Linked DNA regions of Stegostoma tigrinum. The protein of the gene in region 1 interacts with the protein of each later gene in a biochemical or structural test. Links are inferred from orthologs where the notes say so. Each region holds a gene or a part of one and is shown in the gene's direction. Other genes may lie near its edges. The genes, in order: prkcba, rasgrp3 and rack1.

Region 1 (10,282 bases):
TGCCTAGTTTTGGTCACCTTATCTAAGGAGGAATATATTTGATGGAGGAAGTTCAGAGAAGCTTCACAATCCTTACTTCTGGAAAGAAGAACTTGTTCTATGAAGGAAGGCTGAGCAGGTTGGAGCTATACTCATTGGAGTTGAGAAGGCTACAAGGTGATCTTATTGAAATATATAAGAAATACCTTAGCTGGAACACTGTCGCCTATCCAAAAATGCAGAAAATTGCCCAAGTATGTCATCAACAGTACCATCAGACAACATTTGCTCACCAACAATCTGGTAATGTGCCATTTTGAGTCCATTTGGGCTACTTGTCTTTATTACAGCATTGATAGGAACACAGAAGAAAGATCAAAGCTCAAAAGGGAAGGTGCAATGACTGCACTTGACATCAGGGCAGCATATGACTGAGTATGGCATTAAGGAGCCCTTACAAATTTGAAGCCAATTAATATCAGAGCAGACTTTTCAATGTTCAAAATCATACCTAGCAGGAAGATGGTTATGATTGTGAGGGGCTAATTGTCTAAGTCCCAAGACATTGCTGCAAGGATTAGTCAGGGTATTGTCTGAGGTGCAACCATCTTCAATTGCTTCATCATTTACTCTGCTTCCATCATAATCAGAAATGGGGGTATTCATTAATGATCGCACAATGTTAAATGTCAGTTGAACACCTCAAATATTGAAGCAGTCCTTGCTAACATGCAGCAATGCCAGTAAGACATTTGGCCTCGAGTGGGTAAGAGGCATGTAACACATACGCCATACGAGTGTGAGGCAATGACTGTCTCGAGAGAATCTAACCATCTCCCCTTGTCATTCATAGAACATAGAACAGTACAGCACAGAACAGGCCCTTCAGCCCACAATGTTGTGCCGACCACTGATCCTCATGTATGCACCCTCAAGTTTCTGTGACCATATACATGTCCAGCAGTCTCTTAAATGACCCCAATGACCTTGCTTCCACAACTGCTGCTGGCAACGCATTCCATGCTCTCACAACTCTCTGCGTAAAGAACCTGCCTCTGACATCCCCTCTATACTTTCCACCAACCAGCTTAAAACTATGACCCCTCGTGCTAGCCATTTCTGCCCTGGAAAATAGTCTCTGGCTATCAACTCTATCTATGCCTCTCATTATCTTGTATACCTCAATTAGGTCCCCTCTCCTCCTCCTTTTCTCCAATGAAAAGAGACCGAGCTCAGTCAACCTCTCTTCATAAGATAAGCCCTCCAGTCCAGGCAGCATCCTGGTAAACCTCCTCTGAACCCTCTCCAAAGCATCCACATCTTTCCTATAATACGGCGCCCAGAACTGGACGCAGTATTCCAAGTGCGGTCTAACCAAAGTTTTATAGAGCTGCAACAAGATCTCACGACTCTTAAACTCAATCCCCCTGTTAATGAAAGCCAAAACACCATATGCTTTCTTAACAACCCTGTCCACTTGGGTGGCCATTTTATGGGATCTATGTATCTGCACACCAAGATCCCTCTGTTCCTCCACGCTGCCAAGAATCCTATCCTTAATCCTGTACTCAGCTTTCAAATTCGACCTTCCAAAATGCATCACCTCGCATTTATCCAGGTTGAACTCCATCTGCCACCTCTCAGCCCATCTCTGCATCCTGTCAATGTCCCGCTGCAGCCTACAACAGCCCTCTACACTGTCAACGACACCTCCGACCTTTGTGTCGTCTGCAAACTTGCTGATCCATCCTTCAATTCCCTCGTCCAAGTCATTAATAAAATTCAATTGCATTGTCACTGATGAACCCTCACATTCAGAAACCTGAAGGTTATGATGGACCAGAAACATAACAGGATCAGTGCTATAAATAATGTGACTACAAAGGCAAGTTAGAGGCTGAGAATTCTGTGGTCAGTAACTCACCTCCTGAGTGCTAAAGCATTCCCACCATCCAAAAGGTCAAGTCAGAAATATGTTAGAATACTCACCGCTTGTCTGAATGAGTACAGAATATTCAAGAAGTTCAATACTATTGAAGAAGCCACCAATTGATCATCTGTCTACCAACTTCAACAATCATGTCCTCCCACCACTGATACACAGTGTCAGTAATGGGTGTTGCAGTAATTCCTAAAGACTTTTATTTAGCAGCATCTTGTAAACCCATGAGCCGTACCACCTTGAAGGGCAAGGGCAGCAGACACGTGGGAACACCAACATCCCCAAGCTCCCCATTGACTCACACATCAACCTGACTCAGGACTATATTCTCATTCCTTCACAGTTATTGAGTCAAAATCCGCAAACACTCTTCCCAGCAGCAGTGTGGGTGCACCTGCACAAAAGGAAACGCATTCCTTCAGGAGAGGGGCTCACCACCAACCACTAAATAGCAATGAGGGCTGTGTAACAATTGCTACCCTTCCAGCAGAATCCACTTCCTATGAAAGAATTTAAAAATGATTCTGGTGGAGCTTCACAGGGTAGATGCTGATAGGATGCTTCCCCTCACAGCAGAATCAAAATCTAGGGTTTACTGTTTAAAAACAAGCAACCTCCCTTTCAAGTTGGAGTGAAAAGTTATTTCTGTCAGAGGATCGTTAATCTTAGAATGATTTTTCTCAGAGAGATCAGTAGAAGCTGTGTAATTGAATATATTTAAGGGTAAGCTAGGTAGATTCTCGATTGAGAAGAAAGTCATAGGTTGTGGAGGCAGGCAGCAAAACGGAGTTAGACCACATTCAGATCAGAAAGTATCTTACTGAATTATGTAGTAGGCTCAATGAACTGAGTAACCTACAGTGCTCCAATCTCTTATGATTACCATTTTCATTTTTTTTAACTCACAATACTAAATGCCCCGGAATCTCTGGATAGACACAGAATTCCAAAGGCAATCATGACAAGAAAGTCAGATCTGATTACTTTGCATGTTAAAAATGCTGTCCAAAGTCCTTTTTAATTTTTAAACTGTCTATTTGTGCCTTCTAATATTTTTACTCTTAACCATACCACCCAATTTCTTCAAATCAGGTTTCAAGTCTTTGTTTAACACTTGCTATTTTCTACACAAGCTGAAGTCTGATGAGAGAAGTTTGATCTGTAACATTAACTCAGATTCTCTGTCCTCAGATGGTGTCTGATCTGTTGGATTGCATGAGTATTGCTGAAAAGCATCTATATAACACAATGTCCAAACAAGTCTCTTTTCTCAAAACCATCCACTCTCTAATATTTCAAACATGATTATCCTTCAGGGCAATTTGCAAAAAAAGAAACACTAAAGTAAAAAGAAAAGAACATTTCTACTCTGTGAGAGTAGAGTTCTGACCTATCAATCAGTGTTTATCTTTGGTACTTCTGTGAACTCTTTTCATGAATTCAAAATAAAAAGCTCCAACAAAATATGTCTTTTTGTTCAGCAATACTATCCTTCAGTTGTGCTTTTTGGGGAAATCTCCAAAGAAAATACCCAAATTTGCAAATTAGAGGCATTTGTGTTTGCTACAAATATAGGTCAGCTGACTAGGTATGAATTGAAAATCCCATTATTTCTAACCTGAGCAGAATGAAATTTTACATCCAATTATTTTTTTAAGAGGTCAAGAATGTGCACATTTTTATCATGGCGTTTAGTGTTGAAAAAGAAAGGAAAACTCAGGCACAGAAGGCTTAAAAATTATGTGCAACAGAAAGTGACTTCATCCTGTTTCTATGTGACTTGTCTTGAGAATATATGGACTTTTGAATAATCTGATTGTATAAATGTGTGAAGCCAGCACTGGCTTACAGTGCAACATGCTCCAAAATGACCTGAAGGCTCACGCTACAAATTGCAGCATACCTATGGTGAACATGAATGTCAATACAATCTCAACTTTCAGGTCTGTGGATTGTTCCAAGTTGTCACAGGAGACCTGCGTCCAGCCAGTGTCCGACAACATTCTGCAGGTTACTACTGTACGGCTGGACAGTGCATCAAATTTGCACTCAGAGCTGAAACAGACCGAGTTTCTAGAGAATTGTTGGTTTTGCCAGTGATTGGACTGAATGCCAGGTTACACTTGGCAATGAAAGCTTCCACTGAAGTTATTTACTTAGTTATTTGAAGAGAAAGGCATTTAGGTTCCTTGGTGTGTAGGTGTCAGCAACACCCAGCAGCCTATCCTGCATGGAAATAGGAAGCATCCTGATGCCTGCCGCAACTCTCTGACTAGAAGATAAAAGACAAAATGACTGACAGGAAAGCCATCCTTGTTACGGGTGGCCTGAAGGTGAGGCTGCACTCCTAGAAAGCAGCAAAGTGAAGACCTTTGACTTTGCCTCTCTTCCAGATTGCGCAGAAAAATAATTTGGGGGCTTCACCTCACATTTCTCCCTCACTTCACACTCACATTCCTCCCTAACTCTACACTCCCACTGTTCCCTCACCTCACACTCCTCCCTCACCCTACACTCCCACTGTTCCCTCCCCTCACACTCCTCCCTCACCTCACACTCCTCCCTCACCCTACACTCCCACTGTTCCCTCACCTCACACTCCTCCCTCACCTCACACTCCTCCCTCTTCCTCCCTCACCTCACTCCTCCCTCACCCTACACTCCCACTGTTCCCTCACCTCACACTCACATTCCTCCCTCACCTCACTCCTCCCTCACCCTACACTCCCACTGTTCCCTCACCTCACTCACCCTTCACTGACGTTCCTCCCTGCCCCTACACTCTCACCCTTCCTGCGCTCTGGAAGACATTCTGCCGCTCTCCTTACTTGGATTGAGGATAGTAGTTTGCCGGGGTTTGTTGAGAGCCTGTCTCTGGGTAATGGAGAAGCCTCTGAGCACTCCAACCATCTCTGGCAGGAAGGCCGGGGCAGTTACATGTGGTCCCCTTCACTTTATTCGGCGGGTCACCCTGGTTTTCCAAACAAATCTGTTCTGACAGTCAGTGACTTGTAAAGAATCGCGGAAAAGATTCAGACAATGTAGATTCTCAGCAGAACTTGCGAAATGAATTTCCCAAACCTGCAGGAGAGCTGTGAGCCTGCAATTCCCCTGGCTGTGCTCTCAGACACCTCCCTGAAACCCCTCCTCTATCGTCCAGCTCCAGTCTCCCTTTAGCTCTGCGCGGATATTGCGCTGATTTTGCGCTCTAACTTCATAATAATTCGTTTGGGGGATTTTTTTAGCACACTTTCCGAATGCGCCCACGGAGGAAACCCCCGGGCCTTATGTTACTTAGATAAAGGGAATGAATAAATACACACATGATTCAAGGAATGAGCTAGAAAAGCGACTAAAGGAAGCAGTTCCAGTGTGAAGGGAACAGGACATAGTTAAGTTGGGGGGGGGGGGGGATCTGATACTTCCACAACGGGGGTCATAAACCTTGCTACTAGGAGCTCTCACAATGAATCTCCCCAGCTCTATATCGATGTTGGAAATAAGAAATGGCAAGGTGGTTCCTAGCCTTGAGTCACACGCCAAATTTGGCGGGTGGTCACTACACATGAAATGTCTCCCTGACGGGGTTTACGGTGCCCTCAGCCTCGCCGCTGGTTTCACTAAAGCAATTCCATGGTTTTATCTACTCTCCTTGGGCCCTTTTGACAGTCAGCCAACCACCAGAAAACCAGAGTCTGTGCCCGAACTGTCACTTCTTCACAGATCGGAAAATGGAAGGGCGCCGCAAGCAGATGACTTGGCGCTCAACCTCACCGCCTGCTGCCACCAATAAGATCCTAAAGATGTACCATTTCCTTCGGGGCTGTGACTGGGAGATGAGAAACTGCCTGCAGGAGCCACTTGTTGAGCGCTTGGCAGTGTTTGGGGAGGTGGGGTGGGTGTTGTTCAACTCCTACCAGGTTGCTGCTTTCAGTGTTTATATAATAGATCTGAGACGGACAGAAGAGACTATAGCTGTGTGTGTGTGTGCGCGCCTTTGGGAGAGCGCCTCGCTAGCACTGCTTATGTAAATAGACAGCGAGAGGCTTGAATTTGGAAGAGGCGGGGCATCCTGACGTGTGCTGGTGTGAAGCAGACGTAGCCTGGGCTCCTCACTGTGCTGTTAGCTCTCTGCCCGTTTGGCTCACACCAACAACAACACAGGTAAGAGCAGCGCCGAGTCCCTGCTTTTTTTTTGTTTTGCGGGCTACTGTTTGCTGGTGCAGCCTTGGAGCGGGGACTGAAGGATGTCTGACAATGTGTATGCGATGGAGGGCGAGGAGAACACCATTCGCTTCGCCCGCAAAGGTGCCCTAAGGCAGAAAAACGTGCACGAAGTCAAGGACCATAAATTCATCGCTCGCTTCTTCAAGCAACCCACGTTCTGCAGCCACTGCACTGACTTTATCTGGTGAGAGACATTAGCCTCGTCCATAAGCAAACTAGAGCACTGCTTGCAATGCCCATCTTCACATGTCATTAATGGTGATTGTTTGTCTTTGTTTTAACAGGGGATTCGGAAAGCAGGGATTCCAGTGTCAAGGTGGGTGTCCTTCCGGGTACAGTAGCAACAGTGTCTTTAACTGTCAGCCTGGAGTCTTACAGAGTCATGAGCTCAGGACAGTATCTGCAGCACAGTGTCAATAATAGTTTACTTGTGGCGCTCCTGTAATGCTCTATGTGAAGATTAAGCGGGGTGCAGTCAGAATCATCTCCGTTAAATATGAATAATTTACTAACTTGTTATACTGAGCTGCTAGTGCCCACTTAATCTAACAGGTTTTTGCTGCGATGGTAATTGGAAAGTGGACAGAGGCGCAACGCCGCTTAGTTGTTTAATATCAAGTGCACAGCCGTTTCTACAAATCAGTGATTAGACGAACTGGAGTTGTGCTCTGTTGTATTTTTTAATTGCATTTTCGTTAACACAGCCGGATGCAGGTGCCATCCTTCAATGCAATTTTCTGAACCTACCAGATTGAGCCTCGTGTAAGTCAGAAGGCGACCAGTTTATCAATGACTTTTAACAATATCATTTGAACGTTATCCTCCTAGTTTCACTTCTAATAAGACAGCGTTACAAAATATCCATATGTTTGACGTTCTCTCTTTCTGTGATGCTCCCTTTTTAAATTTGTCCTGAACTTGCTTCGTATCAGCGCGCCTCAATTAAAATTGTATCCCCTTTTTTCCTGTTTCTTCGGATTTTAATTTTATTTATCGTCTTTTCACTTTTTTTTCAAAAGACAGCTGCTGAATCAGATGGTTTTTCCTTTTTGGAACAATGTGCAACTTTTCTTTTGCGAGGTTAGCGTCTTAAAGCCTAACCTAACCCCACCCTTTCCTGCCTTTAAGCGGAAGCACTGAATCTCTCTCTCTTTCTCTGTGTGTGTGTGTGTGTGTGTGTGTATATAACAAAAATAGAAAAGTTGGTTTCGGCTTTAACATGTTGAAGAGCAGTGCTATCAGCAGATGGTGGTACTGCGAATGGCAGGCTGACAGGTTGTTTCACACATAACCATATAAGAAACAGCACCTAAGGAAACCGTACTGTTGTTCCCGCACATCCCACGTGTGGCTTGGGTTAGTTGGCAACTGTAACCCTTTCAATCTATTTCACACTATCTGTTTCCTAGTCCCGAGGAGAGGCATTCCAATCTGACTGAAGTGATGGTTGGTGAGTGTACAGATTACACCTGCTCCCTGCTGCTCTGTGACGACTTAGAGATGTTTTTTGACGACTAGATTCACTCTGTGCAGTGGGTTGCACAGATGCGGTCTGTACTGCATAGAAGGGAAGATTATTTGAGTAGTTTTGACTCTTCAGGATGAAGCTGAACCCCTACATCACAATCCCAGTGGTGTAATTCAGTAGAACATACCCAAGCGTTTCTAAATCAGCCCTCAAGCTTTCCGCAGATTTGGTATTTTCAGTTGAAATAGAAGGAAGAAGCGAGCCAGCTCCGTGCCCACCTTATTGACAGCACCTGTCATCAGTTGATATTTGCCAACTCGGAAATCTGACTTGACTTTTATCCGATTGCTATGCTGCTGTCCAAACTTTGAATTCTATGTTGCCTTGCATAATGTCAGGACATCGTATGTGTTGTACAGGTACTGTGGAGTTGTCCCAGCAAACTCCCCAAAAAACGTTATGATGGTGAGATAGTCTATTTCTGTGATGATTGGGGGATAAATATTGACCAGGACTCTGAGAACTCAGTCCCCTGCTCTTCGGAATAGTGCAAAAGGATCTGTATGTTCCCCTGTAAGGGCTAATGGGACATCAGTTTAAGATCTCTTAAACATGGCACACCTTCACAAGTGCTCTTGAGTGTCAGCCTTAATTTTTTTGTCCTCAGGTGTGGGGGGTGGAATTTAAGTTTAACTCCGAGGCAGGAGTTCTCCTCCCTGAGTCCTGGCTGACTGCATTAAAATTGAAGTATTCTACATTGTTGCTGGGTTGCTTTAGATTGGCATTAATGTTCAATAGCGTCTTCAAATGGGTGATGGTAGGGAGAATGGGAATTCCACTGTTTCTTTAGAAAGATAACACCAGCGTGTATTTTTTTTTGAAGTTCAAGCTTGTTTAAAGATTTGCAAGTGGAGATTTCTCCATCTGTTTCAGCAGATTCTGACTGTGAGTGAGTGATGTCATGGTGCTGTGCATTTGTATATGCTTCACAGACACAGTGTGAACAGACGCACAGTGGTTTTGTTTATAAAATATTGACATTTTAATCCCTTTAGAACTCTAAAATGGCATGGATCAAATAGTGATTCGTATTCTCCTCTGGCCACACAATCTTGGGAGTTTTATTTTCACTCACATTAGGTTGGTTGGAGTCAAGTGCTGCCATTTGAAGATTTCTATCATTGTGTGTGCTCAGGAATAATTCTTCAGAATGAGAATTCACATTGGGACAGGAATAGGCCGTTAGGCTCCTTGGGCTTGCTGGACTATTCAGTGCAATCGTAGTTGATCTGCTGCTTGAGCTCCACATATCTGCCCCGTTTTCACATCCTTTAGTTTCCAAAAAATTCTGTCCATAATATGCTTAATGACCGAGGGTCACAACTTTTTAGGGTAGAAAATTGCAAAGATTCTTAACCTTTTGGGTAAAGAAAACTCTCCCTCCTGTCATGATCCTACATGACCAATCCATTATTCTGAGTTTATGAACAGCAAACCTCCCCCTCCTTGTTCGGAATGATCCAGTTCAGGGAAGGATTCCTTCTGAATTTCCCTGAATCTCCTCCTCCCCAAAAATAATAAGTACAGCCTTTGAAGAGATGAACATTAGTATACTGTACTCCAGTTATGACGCAGCAAGACCATACATGTTTGCAGTAAGATTTTCTGACTGTCTTAGTCCTGTTTGCAATAAAGGTTATTATGATCAATGTACAATGATACACAGGTCCCACTGAGTACCAAACCTTTGCTGTCATTTTCATTTAAATAATTCAATTTCTTTCTTACATTTTTCCTTTCAAAGTGAATAATTTCACACTTCTCCACATTATGTTCCAACTGCCATGCTTTTACTCATTCACTTAGCCTGTCTATATTTCTTTGCAGGCTCTTTGCATCCTCCTCACAGCTTATTTTCCCACCTACCTTGTATCGTAACAAACTTGATGTATCACACTCATCCCCTTATCTGCGTCATTGATGTAGATAATATCCTGAGACCTAAGTACTGATCCAGCAGTGCTTAGCTAGTTATAACCTGCTGAGCTGCACAACACTTGTTTGTTCCTATCATTTTCTGTCTTTTAACCAATGTTGAATGTCACTAATATATAATGCTTGTCTGCAAGACCTAATTTTTTGCAATGACTTGCTGCATGGCACATTATCAAGTGCTTATTTGAAAATACAACACACTGCATTCACTGGTTCACCTTATTTGTGCCGCTAATGAAAACTACAAACAATTTCAGCAGATTTGTCAAACCATTTCTTTCATAAATTCGTGCTTCCACAAAGCTGTGATTCCTAAGGGCTGTGCCCCTGTGGCCAAACAATGGATTCGCCTGGCTATTCATGTCAAGCTAACTGGCACATAGTTTTCCATTAACTACACGTTAATTAAGACTTAGCTAAAGAACTTTAATCTTGTGCATTAATTTTAATTCTAAACATTCATTTTGAGAATAGAGTGGAGATGAGTTAGGCTGGTTGCTAATTCTGATGAAGCTTTGATTCTTGTATTTAAGGAATGTTTGGGCAGGATATTGAGCCCTTTAAGCCTGTCCTCTCATTCATTGAAATCATGGTTGACCTGTGATCTAATCCCAGACGGTTTTGTTCCATATCCCTTAATATGCGTGCTTAACAAGAATCTGTTACATTCG
Region 2 (10,392 bases), on another chromosome or scaffold:
ACAGTGTCAGAGATACGGACCCCAGTATTCCTTCAAGCATTGATCCTCATTAGGGGTGTGTGAGTGGTCATTCGTAAGTCACAGAAGTTTACAGCACAGATGGAGACCACAGGGCATGTATATCTGCACACTCCCTTCAAGTGAGCATCAATACCTACTGTCAACCTCCTGCTTATTTCTCAACATAGTTGCAGATTGTTTCATTCCAAATAATCATCTAGTAGCCTCTTGACTACATCAGTTGAATTATCTTCCATTTCACTTCCAAATGGCACATGCCACACCCTAACGACTCACTCTGTTAAAAAAGATTTTCATCATCTCACGTTTTTTTTTGCAAACCACTTTAAATCTCTGACCTCTAGTCTGTAATCCCTCTTTTGAGTAGTAACAGTTTCTCCTAATGTCCCATATCCAGCACCCCTCATGATTTCAAAAAGCTCTATCAGAGGATAGAGGATAGGTGACTAAAGGTATTATTGGTAGACTGTTAATCCAGAGACCTAGGGAATGTTCTGGGCACCCAGGTTTGAATCCTGCCACTGCAGATGGTGGAACTTGAACTCAATTTTTAAAAATCTGGAATTAAGAATCTTAGTGATTACCATGAATCCATTGTCGGAAAAACCAAACTGGTTCACGATTAGGGAAGGAAACTGCCATCCTGACCTAGTCTGGCCTACATCCAGACCAGCAGAAATGTAGTTGACTCTTAGCTGCCCTCTGGGCAATGAGGGATGGGCGATAAATGCTGCTTAGCCAACGATGCCCTCATCCTGTGAGTGAATGAAAAAATATGACCTTGCCACCTTCTTGCCAAGGAGAACAGATCTTTGACATTCAACCTATCTTCATGTCGCACCTTCTTCAATTCTGTCCTCAAGAAAGACATAATATCTGCAGGATTATGTCAAATGTACAATCTCTGCTCTCTGTACATGACAAACCACAACACCTTCTGGTCGCCAACCATTTTAACTCCCTGCCCCACTCACTGGGTGACATGTCCATCCTGGGCCTCCTACTGTGTCACGATGACACCATCTGCAAACAGGAGGAGCAGCGCCTCATATTCTGCCTCGGGAGCCTACAGCCCAATGGTTTAAACTTGGAACGCACCAGTTTTAAAATTTCCCCACCCCTGGCCTCATCCCATGTCCAACCCTCCCTCTCATCCCCACCTCCTTGACCTGACACAACCTGCCCATCTTCTCTCTCACCTATCCACTCCTCCTACTTGACTGACCAATCCCCACTACTGCCTACCTGCACTCTCCATCCCACCTACCTTCCCCAGCCCCATCCCTCCTCTCGATTTATTTCCCAGCTCCCTTCACCCTCCCCCATTCCTGAAGAAGGATCCCAACCCAAAACGTCAACATCGTTGCTCCTCTGATGTGCGCGACCTGCCATGTTCCTCCAGCTCCACACTGTGTTATCTCTGACTCCAGCATCTGCTGTTCTTGCTATCTCTGGTCAATTTCTTGTAGTCCACTCCATACATTTAATTTAGAGTGAATAAATACCTACATTTCACCCAGTTGATGATATTTTCCATTATTATTCAAGAACTCATGTAATCTCATGCCAGAAGAATATTTTCTTAGTATGAGCCGCATGCATAAAATTTCAGAAGTAGCTTCTCCCTTGTGGCTGTCAGGAACTGAACATCAGTTGGAAACTCACTGTTGGTCAAATCATATGTTCACTCATGATTGTGGACGACTACAAGCTTGTGATTTACACACAGTGGCTTTTGTTGGTTTCGTGCCTTTTTATGCAACCAAATCTTATTAAGTTCTTATTAAGTTGTTGCAAGGACCTGGATCCAACAGATTTTCTGCCGTGTGTAGGTAAGATTAAATGAAATGCTGAAAGCGCTTTGAAAAACACAGTTGTGCATTGTTTTAGATAAGGCATGCAGCTTTTCTTCACAGAAGACAGCACTTCCGGAGGGAAGTGAAAGACATCTCTACCAAGTAAAGGCAGCTATTTGGTAACTATTAGAATAAAAACCAAAAGAACTGCAGATGCTGTAAATCAGGAACAAAAACAAAGTTGCTGGAAAAGCTCAGCAGGTCTGGCAGCATCTGTGGAGGAGAAAACAGAGTTAACGTTTCAGGTCCGGTGACCCTTCCAGAGCTTTTCCAGCAACTTTGTTTTTAGTTGTAGGTAGTTCTTAGAACGTTTGAGCATAGCTGCCTCTTGCATAGCTTAAATCAGCTAATGTGCTGACACAATTGAGATCAGACAAAGATGCCTCAAGCTTGAGGCAGGATTCCTGCGCCTATACTGAGGTAAATCATCTCAGCTAGTGTGACAATCAGAGCACTTACCATTCTAGGAGGCAGAAGTTACTGGGATTCCTGATCACTATCCAATTGTTTGTTAGTATTTGGCAAAAGTGAAATGAAGCTGAAGTCTAATTGTTTCATCCATTCTTCTGTGGGATATGGGCAGGCTGGGCCAACATTTATTGTCCATCCCTAATTGCTCTGGAGACATTGGTGATGAGCTGCCTTTCTCATCTGTTGCAATCTGTTTGATTGAGGTAGACCCACAGTGCGGCCAGGAAGGACCTTTCAAGATTTTTAGCCAGTGACAGTGAAGGGATAGCAAGTCAGGATACTGTATGGCTCAAAGGGGAATCTGCATGTGGTGGTTACCCTGTTTATTTGCTGCTTTTGACCCTCTAGAGGGTAATGTGTGTTTGGAAGGTGCTCTTGAAGGAGCATTGACTTGTTGCTGCAGTGCACCTTGTAAATGGTCCACTCTGCTGCCACTGTACATCGATACTGGAGGGAGTGAATGCTGAAGTGGGTGGATGGGGTTGCAGTCAAGGGGGCTGCTTGGTGTTGAACTTCATCTGTATTGATGGAGCTACACTCCTCTAAGCAAGTGGAGAGTATTCCATCACACTCCTAACTTACACTTTGTAGATGGTGAGTGGGTTTTGGGGAGTCAGGAGGTGAATTACTTCACTGCACGATCCTAGCCATTGGTAGACGGTGACAAGCATTTTCTACATCCATTCAAGAAGTGACAAAGGCAAATTTATGGGAGTGAACAGATTATGGCAAACACAGTTCAGTTTGGGAAAGTGTGATGCCACCTACCTGGATCCAAGAAAGACAAAAAATAGAATATTTCCTTCATGACAAGTGACTAGAAAGTGTGAGGATTGTGGAGATGTAGGCATTTGCTTTCACAAAGGCTAAAAATCTTTGTCTTCACCTGTAAGGTGAACTGGAGTATTGCAGTGAGGAGGCATTTGCTTCAGTTTTAAAGAATCATGATCAGATCCCATCAGGCAGATTATGTTCAGTTTAAGAATCACAAATCATTGGTCTTGGAAAGAGTAAATTTGCCAGAATTGCATCAAGTTTGATACAGTTAAATTGTGAAAATAATTCCATGAACTTGGCTGGTGTTCTTTGAGTTTGGTAGGTGAAGGGATGACCATGTATGATCAGGGTGCCTGAAAAGGTAATTTCTTGGCAGTAATTAAGGTTAGCCTGTAACTAATCCATCAGAGATACTTTGTAACTAGAGAAAGAGTCAGTTGTCACACAGAAAGAGAGCAATGCTGGGAAACAGTGAGGAATTTTGCAATCTGCGGCTCAGAGCTTTTCTGTCACTGCATTGGATGACTTGGTGGTAGAGGTGGCAAGGGGAACGAGATGTCCCGAATTCATATGAGCGTACAGGAGGTCCTCAAGGCACACAGTCAAGGAGATGACTGGTTTACAGTTGAGTGCACAAGGATGGATCAAGTTGCTGATAGCACTTATTGACTAGAGTAGGCTCATACATGAACAATGTTGGAGAAGGCAGTGGTGTAGTGGAAATTCCATTGGTCTAGTGATCTAGACTTACGCTCTGAGGAATAAAAGCACAAACAGCAGATGCTGGACTTCTGAAATTAAAAAAAATTAAAACAAATGCTGGAGAAAGAAAATGTGTGGAGAGGGCAAGAAACAAAGTCAACATTTTGAGTCCAGTCTGACTCTCTTCTTTAGATGTTAACTGTGTTTCTCTGTCCATAGATGCTGCCAGATCTGCTTCTTCAACACTTTCTGGTTGTCGTAATATTAATGCCCTGAAGGTTCGAATCCCAGCATAACAACTAATAAAAATTCAATTCAATTGATAAATCTGCAATGTAAAGATAGTTTCATGGCGCCACTTTAGGGAAAGTAATCTGCCATCCTTACCGGACCTATGTATGACTCCAGGTCCATAACAGTGACCTATCAATCCATTCCTTTGATGGATACTTGGGGATGGGCAGAAAACACTGTCCTTTGCAATGCTAGTAACATCCCAGAAAAGAATCGATTCCATCTGGGAAGAAGGAAAAGGTAATGCTAAAATATCATGACTCTGAGGAATGATAGTACATACATTCTTCATGACTTCAAGGGCTCATAAGAGCAAAAATAATGTTGTGATGGGGAAGAGAGGAGACATAGAGGCACACAGCACAGAGACAGTCCCTTCGGTCAGTTGTCCATGCCAAGCAGGTTCCCCAAACTAAACTAATCCCATTTGCTTGAGATTGGTCCATATCCCTCTAAATCTTTCCTGTTCATGGACATGTCTTTTAAATATTGTAACTGTACTTTACCTACCACTTCCTCAGGCAGTTCATTCCACATATGAACCACCCTCTGTGTGAAACGTTTGCCCTGCAGGATCCTGTTAAAATCTTTCTCTGATTGCCTTAAAAGGTTGAGGCAAACTGAGGAAAAGCCAATACATATTTGATAGCTTGGCGATTGAAAAGTGCTTGTGAGTTCAACATTTCTGTGAAGTTGGAAAAGATGTTTTTCAGGAATGACTCCATCTCTCTAAGTGGCTGGTCCTGAACATGTAGATCCTCTTTCTTTTATGTGAGAGTTGCCCTAAATTATAGAGGATCTGCAGAGCAAAAGCAAGCCATTTGGCCCATACCACTCCACCAAAGAGGATACATCCCCTCCAGACCAAACAGCCCCCACCCCACCAGCCCATGACTAACTCACAGATCATGGGCACCTTACAATGGCCAATTCACCTAACCTGCACATCTTTGGTTTGGGGAATAAACGCACATAAGTACAGAGAGAACACATAAGCAATCACCCAGGGCTGGGATTGAACCTAGTTCCCTGGGATAGTGAAGCAGCAGTGCTAACCACTGAACCACAGTAGAAATAGCTATCAAAGGGGTCTTGTTAGTTGGGTGCTGGCTATGTGGAGGGAAAACTTTTATAAAACTGCCTTTTGCATGAGAACTCCCCATACAGACAGCAAACTGTCGAATAAATCTCACAAGAAAATAACAGCAGACTAGTGCAAAATGTTGGCTTCATTTTCGTGCCTGTGGCAGGAATAAGAGGTGTTTGAATGACTGAGCAATGATTTCAATCATCAGTTTATGACAGATGTGTGTGTGTGTAAAACAGATATCTAGCTTTGTGACCTGTACAAACAAGATTTGAATTTCTGTAAAACAGATTCACTATTTGTAGCACATTGCTTCACATGCTTTAAGAGTGTGGGGCTAGACTGAATATAATTAGCATTTCAAGTTCCCCTGTTCCAACACAAGCTCTTTAATTGGCTTCTGAGTAATACACCTCCTGCGAAAGGAACCAGTTGTCTTTTATACTTAATGAGAGACTTTCCAAGAGCTTCAGAAGTAAAGAAATTGTGGTATCCACCAGCTGGATGTTTACTAGTGTGAGAAGTAAAGCAGTTGTCCTGACCCCAGGCACAGTTGATATTTTTCTGTGTGAGTATCTAAATAACTTTGGTGTCTGACTGTAACTGCGAATGCGAGAGAGATTAATCATTTACAAGTTGTTGAGAAGCTCTTTGTGCTTTGGGTAATGAAAGTGCAGCACTGCTGAATATAGAATGTTAGTTGTCAGTGTGTAGGAGACAACGTCATTTACCTCCCCCTATACTGTGGCTGTCCTTATCTGTTTCACTCATGGGATGTCAGCATGTTTGTGCCTCTCTTTGTCAAACTATTTCGAGCATAAATTGACTCTTCTAACACTGACTTTAGCTTACATAATTGACATGCCTAGATCGTGACATCACATGATGCTGCAGCTTAGCAACGAGCAGAAAGAGTTTAAAGTCTATGGGCTTCAATGCATCAGTAAAACTGAGGGAGTTAGGAAACATGTTGCAGCTTCGGACAGTGGAGTGGGGGATCAAACAGCCTCTTACATCTGGTAAGTGCATTTACAATCTGAACTGGCAGACTTTCTCATGGATGTGCAAGAGCGATGAAGCAAAATTGGCAAATCTCTCCAGGAGTTCCAGGCTGTCGAATATTCTCAGGTCAGTCTTACAGTAACAAGCTTCTTTTTCAAAGCCTGCCCGTGATGTGTAGCACAAGTTAGAACTGAAACTGTGTGCATGTGGGCCTGCCAGTATGGGACTGCAGTTGCTGTTATCTTAATCGTGTCTATGCTGCTAAAGAGGACAAGAGCTGGCTTCCAGTTGTGTCATCAGCTTCGAGACCACTTGCCCTGCCATTTGTGTAGCTCATGTGACAACCCAGTCAAAGCCTAGGGAGTTACTTTTGAATTTCCAACCCATACAAGTGCTTAGTATCTGCAGAAATCGGTGGCCTGCATACAGGCTTTGAGTGACAGCTCTGTTTATCAGACCTTCTTCTGACAGGAAGGTCAGGAAAGTTCCTAATGTTAGCCTGGACCCTGGCCAGTGTCGGTATTGAAGAATGGATAAGGTAAAGTGCACTACTGTCATAGCTCCTTTCTCCAGCTGATATCCCCAGCAAACGTTGTAAAAAGAGAATCAACAAGGTATGACCTTTTCATTCTGATGATCCAGCATTACAATCCCTTACTCCGCCACACCAAGCAGGTGAGTAGTATTTCGCCTTCTTTCTAATTTTAACAACAGTTCATTAACGTGGAATTTCGGTGTGGTGATGGCACAGGCCATTCAGCCTGTCCTGTCCATGCCAGCAACATGCAAGAGCAACTTAACGAGTTCCACTCCCTTGCCATTTTCCAGTGCCCTGCAATGCTTTTCCATGCAGATAATTATCCGGTTCTCTCTGAAATTCCCACTATGGTAGCTGTTTTTATGAAACAAAAGATTTCCTCCTGCCACCTTTAGTTCTTTCACTGTTCACCTTTAAATTGGTGTCCCTGTCTATTAAGACTTTTGCCAGTTAAGATGCGACCAGTGATTTTATGCAGGTTCACTGGGAAGATGATGTTAAAGGTTAAAGGGTTCAGAAAAGATTTACAAAGATGTTGCCAGAATTGGAGGGTTTGAGCTATTGGGAGATGCTGAATTAGCTGGAGCTATTTTCTCTGGCGTGTCGGAGGCTGAGGGGGTTTATAAGTTTATAGAGGTTTATAAAATCATGAGGTGCATGGATAGGGTGAATAGTGAGTAGGGGAGTTCAAAACTAGAAGGCATGGGTTGAAAGTGAGGAGTGAAAGATTTAAAAGGAACCTGAGGGGCAACTTTTTCATGCAGAGGGTTGTGCGTGCATGGATCAAGCTGTCAGAGGAAGTGGAGGAGGCTGGTTCAATAACAACATTTAAAAGGCATTTGGATGATTACATGAATGGGAAGAGTTTAGAGGGATATGTGTCAACTGCTGGCAAATGGGACAAGATTAATTCAGGATATGTGGTGGGGTGGACAAGTGGATCGAGGGGTCTGTTTCTGTGCTGTACATCTTTGTGGCTCTATGATTCTCACCTCCTTCCTTCTCTGCTCCATTCCTGTTATTATAAAACTCAGCATCCCTTGTGCCTTTCTCAATCTGCCCTGTCACCTTCAGTTGATTTGTTCACCAATAACTCCAGGTGCTTTTGCTTGTACACCCATTTAAAAGTGTATGCTATATTTTATGTTGCCTATCCTTGCTCTTCTTACCAAAATCCATCACTTTGCATTTCCACAAATTAAATTTCAGCTGCTAGGCATCTGTCCATTGAACTGACTGTTGACATCCTCTTGATAATATTCCAGTATCTTCCTCAGTGTTCACGATACTTGCAGGTTTTGTGTCATCTGCAAGCTTTGGAATCATGAACTGCATACCCACGTCAAGGTCATTAATGCAGATCAAAAGAAACAGTGGTATTAACACTGACTGCTGGGAAGCCTTACTATGTACATTCCAGGTTGGAAAATCAAGACCGTTACTCTGTTTGCTGCCACTCTGCAATGTTCATTTCCAGGCCACTGCTAATCCTTTTGTTCCATGTGCTTTACTTTGCCGATAGCCTCCAAAATTCACTCTGAGATGCTTTTGAAAGTCCATCACCTCAGTAACTCATCTACCTTCTCATGCGAAAAACTTCAATCAAATTAAATAAATCTTTAACAAAGCCATACCAATTTCCTTAGTTAATCCACATTTGTTTCAGCCACTGTTAATTCTGCCCCAGACTATTATTTCTGAAAGCTTCCACCACTACCAAGGTTAAACTGACTGGCGTGCCAGGTATACCTTTGAACTCTTTATTTTGAAAGAAGTGTTTAGCATTTCTAATTCCCCATTCCTCTTGTAATGCTCCTGTGTCTGAGGAGAATTGGAAAATTATAGCCAAGTATTTCTGCAATTTCCACCCTTGCTTTCCTCAGTATTCTGGAATGCGGCTGGTCCGATCCTGGTGATTTATCAACTTTAAACACAATCCAGCCCCTCGGTGTTTCATTGATTAATATCCAACAGTGCCTCAGCCATCTCCCGTTCTTCACAATGACTTTGGAAACATCTTCCTTGGTACAGAAAAATGCAAAGTTCTCACTTCCTAGTTCAATTATGCCCGCTACCACCCTGTGTAAAATCTTCTTTGCGTACCCTACTTAGCCCATTGCTAATCTTCCTACTTATGGTAACTTCATATTACCCACTGTTGAAATGCCGTATTAACTAGAATCTCTGATATCCCCCGATCCCTGTCTGTTCCAATTTCCTTTTGTAAGAAAGCCCAGTCGGAAACCCACAAAGCCGCTCAGATGTTCAGCTCTTTTTGTTTTTTCTTTTAAAGAAATATCTGTCTGAAGGTCAGAAGCACAGATTTTTGAAACTCCAATGTTGAATATATGCCATTTGACATCCCTGGGCACAGCTTGACAATCAAACATAGATTGTATAATTTGTTTGCATTGCATTGTACTGTTAGGTCCATTCAGAGTAAACATGTGTACTCGGAACTGTTTATTTAAACCAATGTGATGCTATCCAAACCAGTGGTCTTCAGCTGTGGTGATCAATCTGTTCGGTTCTATCTTTACTGTGATGCTTTGTTGTTTCTGAGGAGGGGCGGTGGGGAAGAGCTACACCGGGTTTGACTGTCCAGCTGTTTCCTGCTTCTCACTTATATTATCAACTTGACACCTGTCTTACATGATGTTTAATTATTTCATTTTACTCTCTATCGCTTGTCATCCAGAGAGCTCTGGCTTTGTTTCTGCTGTATTTCTCTGTGGAAAAGTTCACGATCTGTACATGAACTAAGGCCTCTTTGAAGACAGTCCATTGTTCCAGTTTTGCTTCCTAACTTTTGATTCCATGGGCTAAATTGATTCTCACCAACTGAAATTAATCCTCTCCCCATTAATAATTTTGAATCTAGATTGCTTCTTGCTGTTTTTCATAGCTGATGCACTCATGATTACATTATGATCACTGTCTCCTAACTGTTCCCCTATTGATACTGATCTACTTTACCTCATTCTCCAGAATCAGATCCAACGATGCCTCCTACAATGCCTCCTTCCTCTTCTGATCAGTGCATTTCTGATCCCAATAATTTGCCTGAACATACACAAGAAGCTCTTCATCCTCTCAACATTTTACACTATTAATTTCCAATCGTTTGAAAATAATGGATCTCCCATTCAGCCCGGAGGTGAGGATAAATTTATTCTCACTGAGGGTTGTTAGTCTGTTGAACTCTTTTCCCCAGACAGCCTTGAGTATTTTCAATGACCCAGCTTCCAATACTGAGTTGGATGTTTGATCCACATGGAATTTGTGGGTCATAAGGAATGAGCAGGAAAGTGGATTAGAAGCCACAACGTAATCAGTCATGATTTTATTGATTGGAGGAGCAGGAACAAGATGAAAATGGTCTATTCTGCTTCTTAATCATGTATTCTTACTACTTTTCCAGTCTGTGATAGGGTAAGTAAAATCTGTTACAACTCAATTCAGTAGTTTTGTACCTCGCTGTAATTTCTTTGTAAATTTGCTCCTGTGTATCTTTTCTGCTAGATGATCTATAGAATCCACAAAACACCAGTATCTCTATTGTTTGCTAGCTTTAACCAAATAGCTTCTGTCCTTGACATCTTGAGGACATTCTCTCTTTCTAGCACTCGTATATTCTGTTCAGT
Region 3 (10,542 bases), on another chromosome or scaffold:
TAAGCCACTGTGTTGACATCTTTTTGAAGTTCTATATTATCCTCTCACAGTTTACAATTCTTCCAATTTAGTGTCATCTGCAAACTTGAAAATGTCCCTGCAAAGCAAGATCAAGATTATTGATATATATCAGAAAAAGTAAGGGTCCCAAACCAACCCTGGGGAACTCTACGACAAACCTGTCTCCAGGCCATAAATATATCCATTGACTATTACTCTGTTTCCTCGTCAATTTTGTATCCATGTTGCCACTGTCCTTTTTATATCATGATTCCATAACTTTCCTCACAGGCCTGTTGTGTGACATTATCAAACATGTTCTGGAACACAACGTATATATCAACACTATTACCCTCACTAACATTCTGTCTAACCTCTTCAATAAAATTGCAACATTTTAGTTTGACAAAATTTCACGTTTAGTAATCCATTTTAACTCTTCTAATCCACCCACCTTTTCCTAAATGACTATTAATTCTGTACAGAATAATTGTTTCCAAATGTTTCCACACCACCAAAGTTAAAATAACTGGTCTGTAATTGCTGGGATTGTCCTTACAACCTCTCTTGGACAAAGCCATTGTATTTGCAATTCTTCAGTCTTCTGGCATGTTCCAGGGAAAAAAATATGGCCAGTATTCCTTCAGTTTCTACTCTCATGGCCTTCAAAATGTTTGGATGCATCTTATCTGAACCTGGTGTTTTATCAACTTAAGAGCCAACAATCTATCCAGGACTTTATAAATTTTAAACTGTTCTGAGAGACTTGCCATTCTTGTCACCATATCCTGGGCATCATCCTCCTCTTGTAAACACAGATGTAAAATATTTGTTTAACACCTCAACCATGCCTTATACCTTGATGTGTAAATCCACTTTATGGTCCCTGATCGGTCCTACTCCTTCTTTAACCATTCTCTTACTGTTTATATGCCTATCAAAGACGTTGAGATTTCATACAGGCTACTGATCTTTTTTCATAGGTCCCCTTTGTTTCTCCTGTTTGCTCATTCACCTCCAACCTGAACCTTCTATGTTCCTGTTTGTTCTCAATAGTATTTTCTGCCTCATACCTGTTATTGGCAAACTTTTTCATTCTCACATTAATTCCTACCTCCTTTGCCAGCCGGAGGACCCTGGATTTGTTAGCCCTACATTTTCTGTGAGAGGAAATGTAACTCAACTGTATCTGAAACATCTGCTCTTTGAAGGTAGCCAATTGTTCAGTTGTTGTTTTTACACACTAACCTCTTATTCCAATCAATTCTGCTCAGTTGTGTTCTTGTCGCATTAAAGTCAGCATTCCACTGATTGATTTTTCTTATTTTGGGTTGTTCCAAGTCATTCTCCAACACCATCCTGACCCCTATCACACAATGATCATTGTCTCCTAAATGTTGTCTCACTGACACTTGATCCACATATCCAAGGACCAGGTCCAACATGTACCCTTCCTTATTGGCCTGTAAAATATTGCTGCAGGAACCTTTCCCAAACACAATCTTGGAACATTTGACCCTTGTTGTGCCTTACACTACCAGTATTCAGCCTATATGTGGGTGACTGAAGTTCCTCTATAATGTTGGCATCTTTCTGTAGATTTGTTCCTCAACATCCTTTCCACTTTTGGTGGTCTGCAGACTACACTGCACAATGTTATTGTACTATTTTTATTCTGTAACTCTAGCCAAATTGAGCCCGTCCTTGAATCCTCTGAGACATCTTCCTTCTCGAGGACTGAAATACCTCCTTAACTGATACTACTATTACTCCTCCTTTACCTATTTTCCACCTCTCCTGAACAACTTATATTCAGGAATAATTAACACCGAGCCTCACGCTTCCTTCCACCAAGTTTCTATCACTGCCACATCATAATTCTACGTTGCAATCTTCACCTGTAACTTCCCAACCTTATTTATTATGCTTCATGCACTTATATGTATACATATTTATTCTGTTTTGGACTTACCTTTCTCCTCGACTTCTTGAAATTCACCTATTTGTGACTCACAATGCTAGTGCCAGGCTTTTTCAAAGTGTTTTGCAGGTCTGACATTTTCCTTAATTATTCTTTCTTGATTCCCTCACATTGCCAAATTAGTTTAACTTGGAAATGAGGTGAATCAAATGGTTCAAGTGTCAGTGAGACAACATTCAGCCCTCCCAATGACACAAGCTGAATGCCCCACATCATACCCTGTTGCTCAGGGGCATTTTGCTTGCATGTTACCCTGTTGGTATGATGTGGCATTTGAAAATACACTCACTGATCTTACGACTCATACAAAATCATTGACTTTTTTATGGCCCTACCTCCTGGTCTTTTAGGTCTTAATTACTGGCATTGACTGCCATAGCTACCTGCTTCCATAATCTTTTGTGGCAGATGATTTCTTGGTTTCCTCCAGGTACAGATCATGTTTCTTACTGTTTACCTCATTCACTAAGGCCTCCAGAGCATCAGCTAAAACCTTGGAGGCCCATTTCTTGTATGTTGCGCCATTCTTCAGTTATTATATTCACTTAGTGTCATAGAGTTAAACAGACGGAAACAGACCCTTCAGTCCAACTTCTCTGCTCTCACTAGATATTCTAAACTGATTTGATCCCATTATATAGGTATTTGGCCTATATCCCTCTAAATGCTTCCATTTCATGCAGCCATCCAGATTCATTTTAACTGTTGTAATTGTATCTGCCTCCACCACTTCCACTGGCAGGTTGTTCCATAAGTGCACTAACCTCTGCACGAAAGAAATTGCACCTCAGATCCCTTTTAAATCTTGCCCCCCTCACCTTGAATCCATGCCCTCTAGTTATGAACTCTACTACCCTAGCAAAAAGACCTTGGCTATTCACCCCATCCGTGCCCCTCATGATTTTATAAACCTCAATAAGGTCACCCCTGCCTCTGATGCTCCAGCCTCACTCTATAACTCAAACATTCCAATCTTGGCAACATTCTCATAAATCTGTTCTGAAACTTTTCAAGTTTAAGATAACGAGGTGTAGAGCTGGATGAACACAGTAGGCCAGGCAGCATCAGAGGAGTGGGAAAGCTGATGTTTCGGGTCTGGACCTTTCTTCGGGGAAGGGGGCTCTGAAATAAATAGAGAGACGGGGAGGCAATGATAGAAGGTGGATAGAGGAGCAGATAGGTGGAGAGAAAACAGACAGGTCAAGGAGGCAGGGATGAAGCCAGTAAAGGTGAGTGTAGGTAGGGAGTTGGGATGGGGGTTAGTCGGTGGGGGTGGGTGATAGGGAAGATGGACAGGTCAAGGAGGCGGGGATGAGGCTAGTAGGTAGGAAGTGGGGGTGGGGGTTGGTCAGTGAGATGAGAGGAGTGGATAGGTGGAAGAAAAGATGGAGAGGTCAAGGAGGCGGGGATGAGATGGGCTAGTCTTGGGATGAGGTCGGGGCGGGGCAGTTTTGAAGCTTGTAAAGTCCACATTGAGGCCATTGGGCTGCAGGGTTCCCAAGCACAATATGAGGTGCTGTTCCTCCAGCCTTCGGGTGGCATTGTTGTGGCACTGGAGAAGACCCAGGATGGACATGTCATCCAAGGAGTGGGACGGGGAGTTGAAGTGGTTCACGACTGGGGTGTTGTCGCTTATCATGAACTGAGTGTAGGTGCTCCACAAAGCGGTCTCCAAACCTCCGCTTGGTTTCCCCGATGTGGAGGAGGCCAGATCGGGAACAGTGGATATAGTATACGACATTAGTGAATGTACAGGTGAGCATCTGTTTAATGTGGAAGGTTTTCTTGCGGCCTGGGATGGAGGTGAGGGGGGAGATATAGCACTTCCTGCGGTTGCAGGGAAAAGTGCCAGGGGTGTTGGGGTGAGTGGGGAGTGTGGAGGGGATGAGGGAGTCGTGGAGACAGCGGTTCCTCTGGAAGGCAGATAAGGGTGAGGAGGGAAATATGTCCTTGGTAGTGGGGTCAGATTGCAGGTGGCGGAAGTGGTAGAGAATGAAGTGTTGAATCCAGAGGTTGATGGGGTGATATGTGGGGACAAGGAGATTTCTGTCTTTGTTGTTATTGCGGGGAAGGGGTGTGAGGGCTGAGGTGCGGGAAACGTGAGAGATGTGGTCAAGGGCGTTCTTGACCACTGTGGAGGGGACATTGCACCTATAGCCTCACCCCACCATCTTAACCTGTCCATCTTCCCTCCCACGTACTCGTCCCTCCCTCCTCACTGACCAACCCCCATCCCAAATCCCCACCTACACCCACCTTTACTGGCCTAATCCCCATCTCCTTGACCTGTCCGTCTTCTCTCTACCTATCTGCTCCTCTGTCAAACTTCTATCATCGCATCCCCCTCTATTTTTTTCAGAGCCCCCTTCCCCTCCCCCATTCCTGAAGAAGGTTCCTGACCCAAAACGTCAGCTTTCCTGCTCCTCTGATGCTGTCTGGCCTGCTGTGTTCATCCAGCTCTACACCTTGTCATCTCAGACTCCAGCATCAGCAATTCCTACTATCTCTTTTCAAGTTTAATATCTTTCCTACAGGAGGGAGGCCACAACTGAACACAGTATTCTAAAAGTAGCCTCACTTTATATGACTTTATATGCAATATGATGTCCCAACTTCTATACTCGATGCATTGACCAATGGAGGCAAGCTTGCCAAATACCTTCTTCACCATCCTGTCTACCTGTGACTCCACTTCCAAAAGGATGCGCCTGCACCCTTAGTTCTCTTTGTTCGGCGCACTCACCACTGTTCGGCCATCAGCTGTAGAAGTCTTGGCCTGGTTTGCCTTAGCAAGATGCAAAACCTAAAACATATCCAAATTAAACCTCATCAGCCATTTCTTGGCCCATGTGATCAAGGCCTTCTTGTCCTTTGAGATAACCTTCTTCACTGTCCACTACACCACCCATTTTGGTGTCATCTGTAAACATACTAACATAATTGCCAAAATATTCCCCTTTAAGTGGTGTAGACTAGCTTTGAATGCAGCTATCCACTCGTGATATGGCACCCTTTTCAGACATACATAATCAATAGTGGTTGCTTAGCATTGAGTGAAAAAGTTCAGGTGGTACACAGCACAAAATTGATGTGATCGTTGCTGCTTTTCATTTAATGTGTTTGAGTTAGTCACAGTCTCCAAGCCTGTCTTTTTTTCAGGAGGGAGAAAATTACATTTGCATTTATGGTGCTTCATACTATCAAGGAACATCGCCAAGTGTACAACCAAAATGAAACATTACATTGAAACATAGAAAATAGGTGCAGGAGTAGGTCATTCAGCCCTTCAAGCCTGTACCACCATTCAAAATGATCATGGCTGATCATGCAATTTCATTATCCCGTTTCCACTTTCTCTCCACACCCATTGATCCCTTTAAGTTATAAGGGCCACGTCCAGCTCCAACTTGAATATATCTGATGAAGTGGCCCCACAACTCTCTGAGGTAGAGAATTCCACAAATTCACTACTCTCTGAGTGAAGAAATTCCTCCTCATCTCAGTCCTGAATGGCCTACTACTTATTCTTAGATTGTGACCCTTAGTTCTGGACTTCCTCTACATCAGGAACATTCTTCCCACGGAATTTTATATGTTTCCAGGAGATCCCCGTCATTCGTCTAAATTCCAGTGAGTACGAACCAAGTTGATTCAGTCTTTCTTCATATGTCAATAATTACCATGTGCAATTTCTATTCAGCTAGATTCTGCTATTTTGTGGCTATCAAAATTATCTTTTAATGCTCCAGTCCCCAGCCAACTGCTTGTTTGGTCAACAGTTCCAAGTGATTGCTGCTGGCTGGTCAGTGCCTTTTGACACTTCCAGCAGTCGAAAGGGTAACTGGAATCGTTGGATCCATTCCCTCCGGGTGTAAGTTCCCGTGTGACAGAATAATTTGAGAACAGACTGAGGCAGCTAGCTGCTTTCAATCAGGTTCTTGATTTTGCTATAAGTATACAATTGTTATTTCGAAACAGTTTGCAGCTCCAACCGGCAACATCAAGTTAAACGTCACCAAGGAGACGGCGCCACCATCAAAATCACCCAGCCCTCTCCTCGCCATTGACGTCATGTCCGGGCCTGTTACGGAGCGCTTCCTTTTTCTCTGCGGCCCGGTGGACGCGCGTTGTTCTGAGGCTGAGTCCTCTGCTGCAATCCGTTTTCATCCGTCTATAGGACGCCCCATCTCCACTCAAAATGACGGAGCAGATGACCCTTCGTGGCACCCTAAAAGGCCACAGTGGCTGGGTGACACAAATTGCCACAACCCCGCAGTTTCCTGACATGATTCTGTCCGCGTCCCGAGGTACTCTTCGTGGAGGGGGAGGGAAGAGGACCGGGGTGCGGGCTCTATCCGCCGCCAAAGGCGGACCGAGCAGCCGTTTCTCGGCCGTATGTTTTATCATGAATGCCTGTTTCTCTTTTAGTCCCGTTATGTTAACTTTTCGAGTTGTCTGTAGCCGGACTTCTTCACGGTTTACACGTAGATAGTTTTACGGCCCTCCGTTGCTTATTAGGCCCGGCTCTCAGTCGATTGCAACGAGTCACTGCTGCTGACACACAAGCTCGAATGCTGCAGAACCACGTTGTGTGTCCATCAGGAGGCTAAAACTGAAACGTTAGAACACGGAACATACGAACTAGGAAGAGGAGTAGGCCGTCCGGGCCTTCGAGTCTGCTCCGCCTTTCAAGATTTTTGATAGCCAGGGGATATCACTTTTTTAAGAGTTCAATAACTTGAGGTTAATTACCGACCTGTGGGCTTTAACGAGTTAAAGTGGTTTACTGCCGGTGCATTAATTTATACTTACAAATATGCCAATGCTTGCAGAATGAGTAACAAATTGAGTGTTGTCTTATTTCTGATGTAAAGGGACATTGCACAGGCAAAACATCTGTGGATGTGGGAAGTCTAAAACAGAAACTGGTGGAGTGTGGAGAGAGCACCCCGTTAATGTATTCTTTTCAATTCTATTCTTTGGGCAAATAACATTTATAGAAGAAAAGTATGTTTCAAATTAATCTTTGAAAGTATTGAAATCTGAAATGCCACGTTTCCAGACCTAAAATAACTTGCATTACTTTATCACACTTAAAGTAAAATGCCCCAAGGAATCTTGCAGGAATATTACTAGTTTTGTTTCTAATTTTGAGCAAAAGTGAGCTATTTGGTTTTTAGAAAACTTAAATGTATTACATCAGTTCATACCCTAACTGGAAAGTAACTTTTCATATAGCAAACTGTGACCTTAATCTAAATGCAGTGTTCTAAAAGCTTATTTCTGCTTACAGATAAAACAATTATCATGTGGAAGCTAACTAGGGATGAGACCAGCTATGGTGTCCCACAGCGTTCCCTCAGTGGCCACTCTCACTTTATTAGTGATGTAGTCATTTCTTCTGATGGTCAGTTTGCCCTTTCTGGTTCCTGGGATGGAACTCTACGACTTTGGGATTTGACAATGTAAGAATGCAAATAATTTATTGCCTACAATCAGATTTTTAATAAGAGTGGAATAATTTGTTGCGGGTGCATTTTAAATGTTTTTAATGGTACTTGTTCCAAAGAAATTAATAGACATTTTTGCTTGATTATTTGCAGTCGTTTCTTTCACTACTTGTTGGGATGATTAATACAATTCCTCTTCCAGGGGATCGACTACACGTCGATTTGTAGGTCACACCAAGGACGTACTGAGTGTTGCCTTTTCAGCTGATAATCGCCAAATTGTGTCTGGTTCCCGTGACAAAACTGTAAAACTGTGGAACACATTAGGTGTTTGCAAATACACCATCCAGGTAACTCAGACACAATTACTTTTCCAAGCATGGCTATTACACTATGTAGGGGAAAAATATCTCACTTTGTTATTACGTATTTGGCATTCATGTGCAAAATTCTCAGGCAGCAGAAGCTGAAACATTGAATATCTCATTGTCAATTCTATTCAAATGATAATTGTGAACTTAAGGAATCTACAGTACGTCTTTTGCTTTGAAATTCCCATGTATTTAATTGCATTCCTACTTACGTACAGAAAGAAGTTAATTCTCAAGAAGTTGACTGCCTGGCAGCTGGTCTGAATGTTGTGTTTTACCTTTCCACCCAAACTGAACACATGAACTGGTAGTGATTATTTTGTTCGAGATGTGGCTGGAGGGTTTTCTGAAATGGTAGCAAGTTCGTATCGATAGTTTAAATGCAATGGCTAGACAAGTATAGCACACAGTTAAGTTCTAAATTATATGCTTAATTTACAGTGATAAATGAATGAACTGTGTTTATCCTTTGCTCAATTCAGTTGTAGACTTCTTAGTTACACCATTTGAAATAACATGAGTATGGTTACTACATAATAGAAAGGAGATGTGAGCGTGAATATAAATGGCTGAACATTGAGTTCAACAGTGTTTGGTATTTCTTGAGTTGCTTAATATTTAATTGAACAGCAAAAATAGCAGGGCCACCAGTCTGGAAATTTATCATATGAATGAGACTTTGCTTTTAAGAAGCGAGATAAGGTCAGCCCCTTTTACTGGTTGGGCACTAGGATGTGTTTGTTTATTATAGCCAAACTTGCTGACTCTATAGGTAAGGAAGCTGGTTGTGAGGATACAGTTTGCAAAGCCATTTAATTAGTATGAATGAATGGTTGATATTTTGGCATAAGTGTGGGAGACAATAAGATTATCCACTTGCCGGGAAGAATAGGAAAGCAGAAAATTGAATATGATACACAAATCTGCGTAGCTACTTGTATGAATTTCAACTGTTAGAATGTAGAAGCAGCAACTAATTGTGGGAAGTTGCACAGGGTGTTGGAGTACAATTTATAGTTTGAGCTTTAATTACAACGGGACATGCTTGCATTAGAGGCAGTTCAGAATGAGCGGTTGATTTGAGGAAAGGTTAGGCCTTTGACCTCAGTTGAGAAGAATGAGTAATCTTGTTGAAAAGTACCTCGGGGCTTGGAAGGTAACATTGAAATTGTTTTACCTTGTGGAGGAGCCTAGAAAAAATTGGCAGTTGCAGAATGGGAGAATATTTCTGACTTAAAGTTTGAGATGAAAGCAAATTTCTTGGCTCATTAATGGAATTGTGCATCCTCTGAGTAGTGACTTTCTCATATTCATGATGAACTTACAGATTATTGTACCTTGAAATCAGTTATGGAGAACAGGCAGAAAAGTGGACATGTAGTTATGATTTAGGTTAGCTTTTTACTGAATGGCGGAGCAGATGTGGAGGTGGGGGTTTAGTAGTGGTAAGTGGCCTTCAGGTCCTTTCTTTAATTGACGGACTGAGTTGTGAAATTGCAGGGTTGGTGGCAATTAAGAACATTACAGATCTTTTCTAGCATTAACAATCCATGTGAAATTTTGTTCAACTTTCCCTCTCTTACAGGATGAATGCCACAGCGAGTGGGTATCTTGTGTTCGCTTCTCGCCAAATAGCAGCAACCCCATCATAGTCTCCTGTGGCTGGGATAAACTAGTTAAGGTAAGAGTGATGAATCGAGATAAGTGTTGGGGTGGAAAGATGCTGGTGTTAACATTGTTGGAAATTGCTTCTGTTTTCTGTTTTGATGGATTGGGTCTGCACTCGTGTTAAGGCTGGGTTGTCAAAGAGCTGAAAATAGATGTTCTGATTTATTGAAGCTCACTGTTTTTGTTGGAGAGATTACCAGGGCTGTTTGTGCCTCCTCAGTCTCTGTGCCTTGAGCGAACAGGAATTTCATTACTTTTCACCAGACACACCATTAATTTCTGCTAGTCTGTTAATTTCTATCAATGTTGTGATTCTTGGCACAACCTGTAGTTTTATTTTATAATTGGTTCCTTAGCAGAACATTCACGTCATGCTGGGTAACCATGATTCATGTGTGGCTCAGTGCATCAGTACTCAGTACTGGTTTTTTTCATTCCTGTTCCCTTTTCAGGTAGATTGAATGCACTACTCAGTGTTTTTCTCTTTGTTTTGTGATCATTGGGCTTGGCGTTGATTTAAACTGATTTCATACCAAAGGTGTCTTTAGTTCTCTTGCATTGTTGTTTTTAATGATTTACCAATAGTTTTTGGTGCTTTTTTGACTAGTATTTGACTTTTTATATATGTTCTCAGTTTTTTCAGGGGTGAAGTGATGAACGTGGTTCGTTATGCTTGGTTGTATATGATAGAAATTTTTGTATAGACCTCCTTGTATATTCAACCCTAAAATGGATTTGCTTGTTTTGTTTGCCATTGTAGTGTTAGGCCTACCTGTGAAAAGTTGATCTTTTTTCGTCTTGAATTGAATTAGGTTTATTGTCACTATACTTAAATGTTTACAAGTCGCCACTTATAGCACCACCTTAAGAACAAAGATATTTGGGAACAGCTGCTTCAATTACAGATTAGTTACAATGTAACTAATGTCACCAACATAAGGTGCCATATTAGCTATACAGTACCTAGGTACAATCCTTCATTACAGAATAGAGAAATGAAGAAAAACAGTTATGACAGCTATATGCACTATAACCATAGGTGAGAAAAACAGGAAGCAAGTTATAAAGACAA

Evidence for each region.
Region 2: of the proteins of prkcba (region 1) and rasgrp3, one has a biochemical effect on the other in vitro, tested with the Homo sapiens proteins (2 studies listed by BioGRID). The link is inferred for Stegostoma tigrinum from reciprocal best matches to the Homo sapiens genes PRKCB and RASGRP3.
Region 3: the proteins of prkcba (region 1) and rack1 form a complex in vitro, tested with the Homo sapiens proteins (2 studies listed by BioGRID). The link is inferred for Stegostoma tigrinum from reciprocal best matches to the Homo sapiens genes PRKCB and RACK1.

Annotation. Positions count from the first base shown.
Region 1 is NC_081376.1:21,295,187-21,305,468, forward strand, and holds the start of prkcba (protein kinase C, beta a), read left to right. Parts: upstream 1-5,882; 5' UTR 5,883-6,168; coding exon 6,169-6,332; intron 6,333-6,432; coding exon 6,433-6,464; intron 6,465-10,282. UniProt on the Homo sapiens protein: Calcium-activated, phospholipid- and diacylglycerol (DAG)-dependent serine/threonine-protein kinase involved in various cellular processes such as regulation of the B-cell receptor (BCR) signalosome, oxidative stress-induced apoptosis, androgen receptor-dependent transcription regulation, insulin signaling and endothelial cells proliferation.
Region 2 is NC_081362.1:81,544,231-81,554,622, forward strand, and holds the start of rasgrp3 (ras guanyl-releasing protein 3), read left to right. Parts: upstream 1-6,017; 5' UTR 6,018-6,227; intron 6,228-10,392. UniProt on the Homo sapiens protein: Guanine nucleotide exchange factor (GEF) for Ras and Rap1.
Region 3 is NC_081366.1:36,419,321-36,429,862, forward strand, and holds the start of rack1 (small ribosomal subunit protein RACK1), read left to right. Parts: upstream 1-6,065; 5' UTR 6,066-6,179; coding exon 6,180-6,288; intron 6,289-7,274; coding exon 7,275-7,446; intron 7,447-7,633; coding exon 7,634-7,781; intron 7,782-9,387; coding exon 9,388-9,483; intron 9,484-10,542. UniProt on the Homo sapiens protein: Scaffolding protein involved in the recruitment, assembly and/or regulation of a variety of signaling molecules. Interacts with a wide variety of proteins and plays a role in many cellular processes.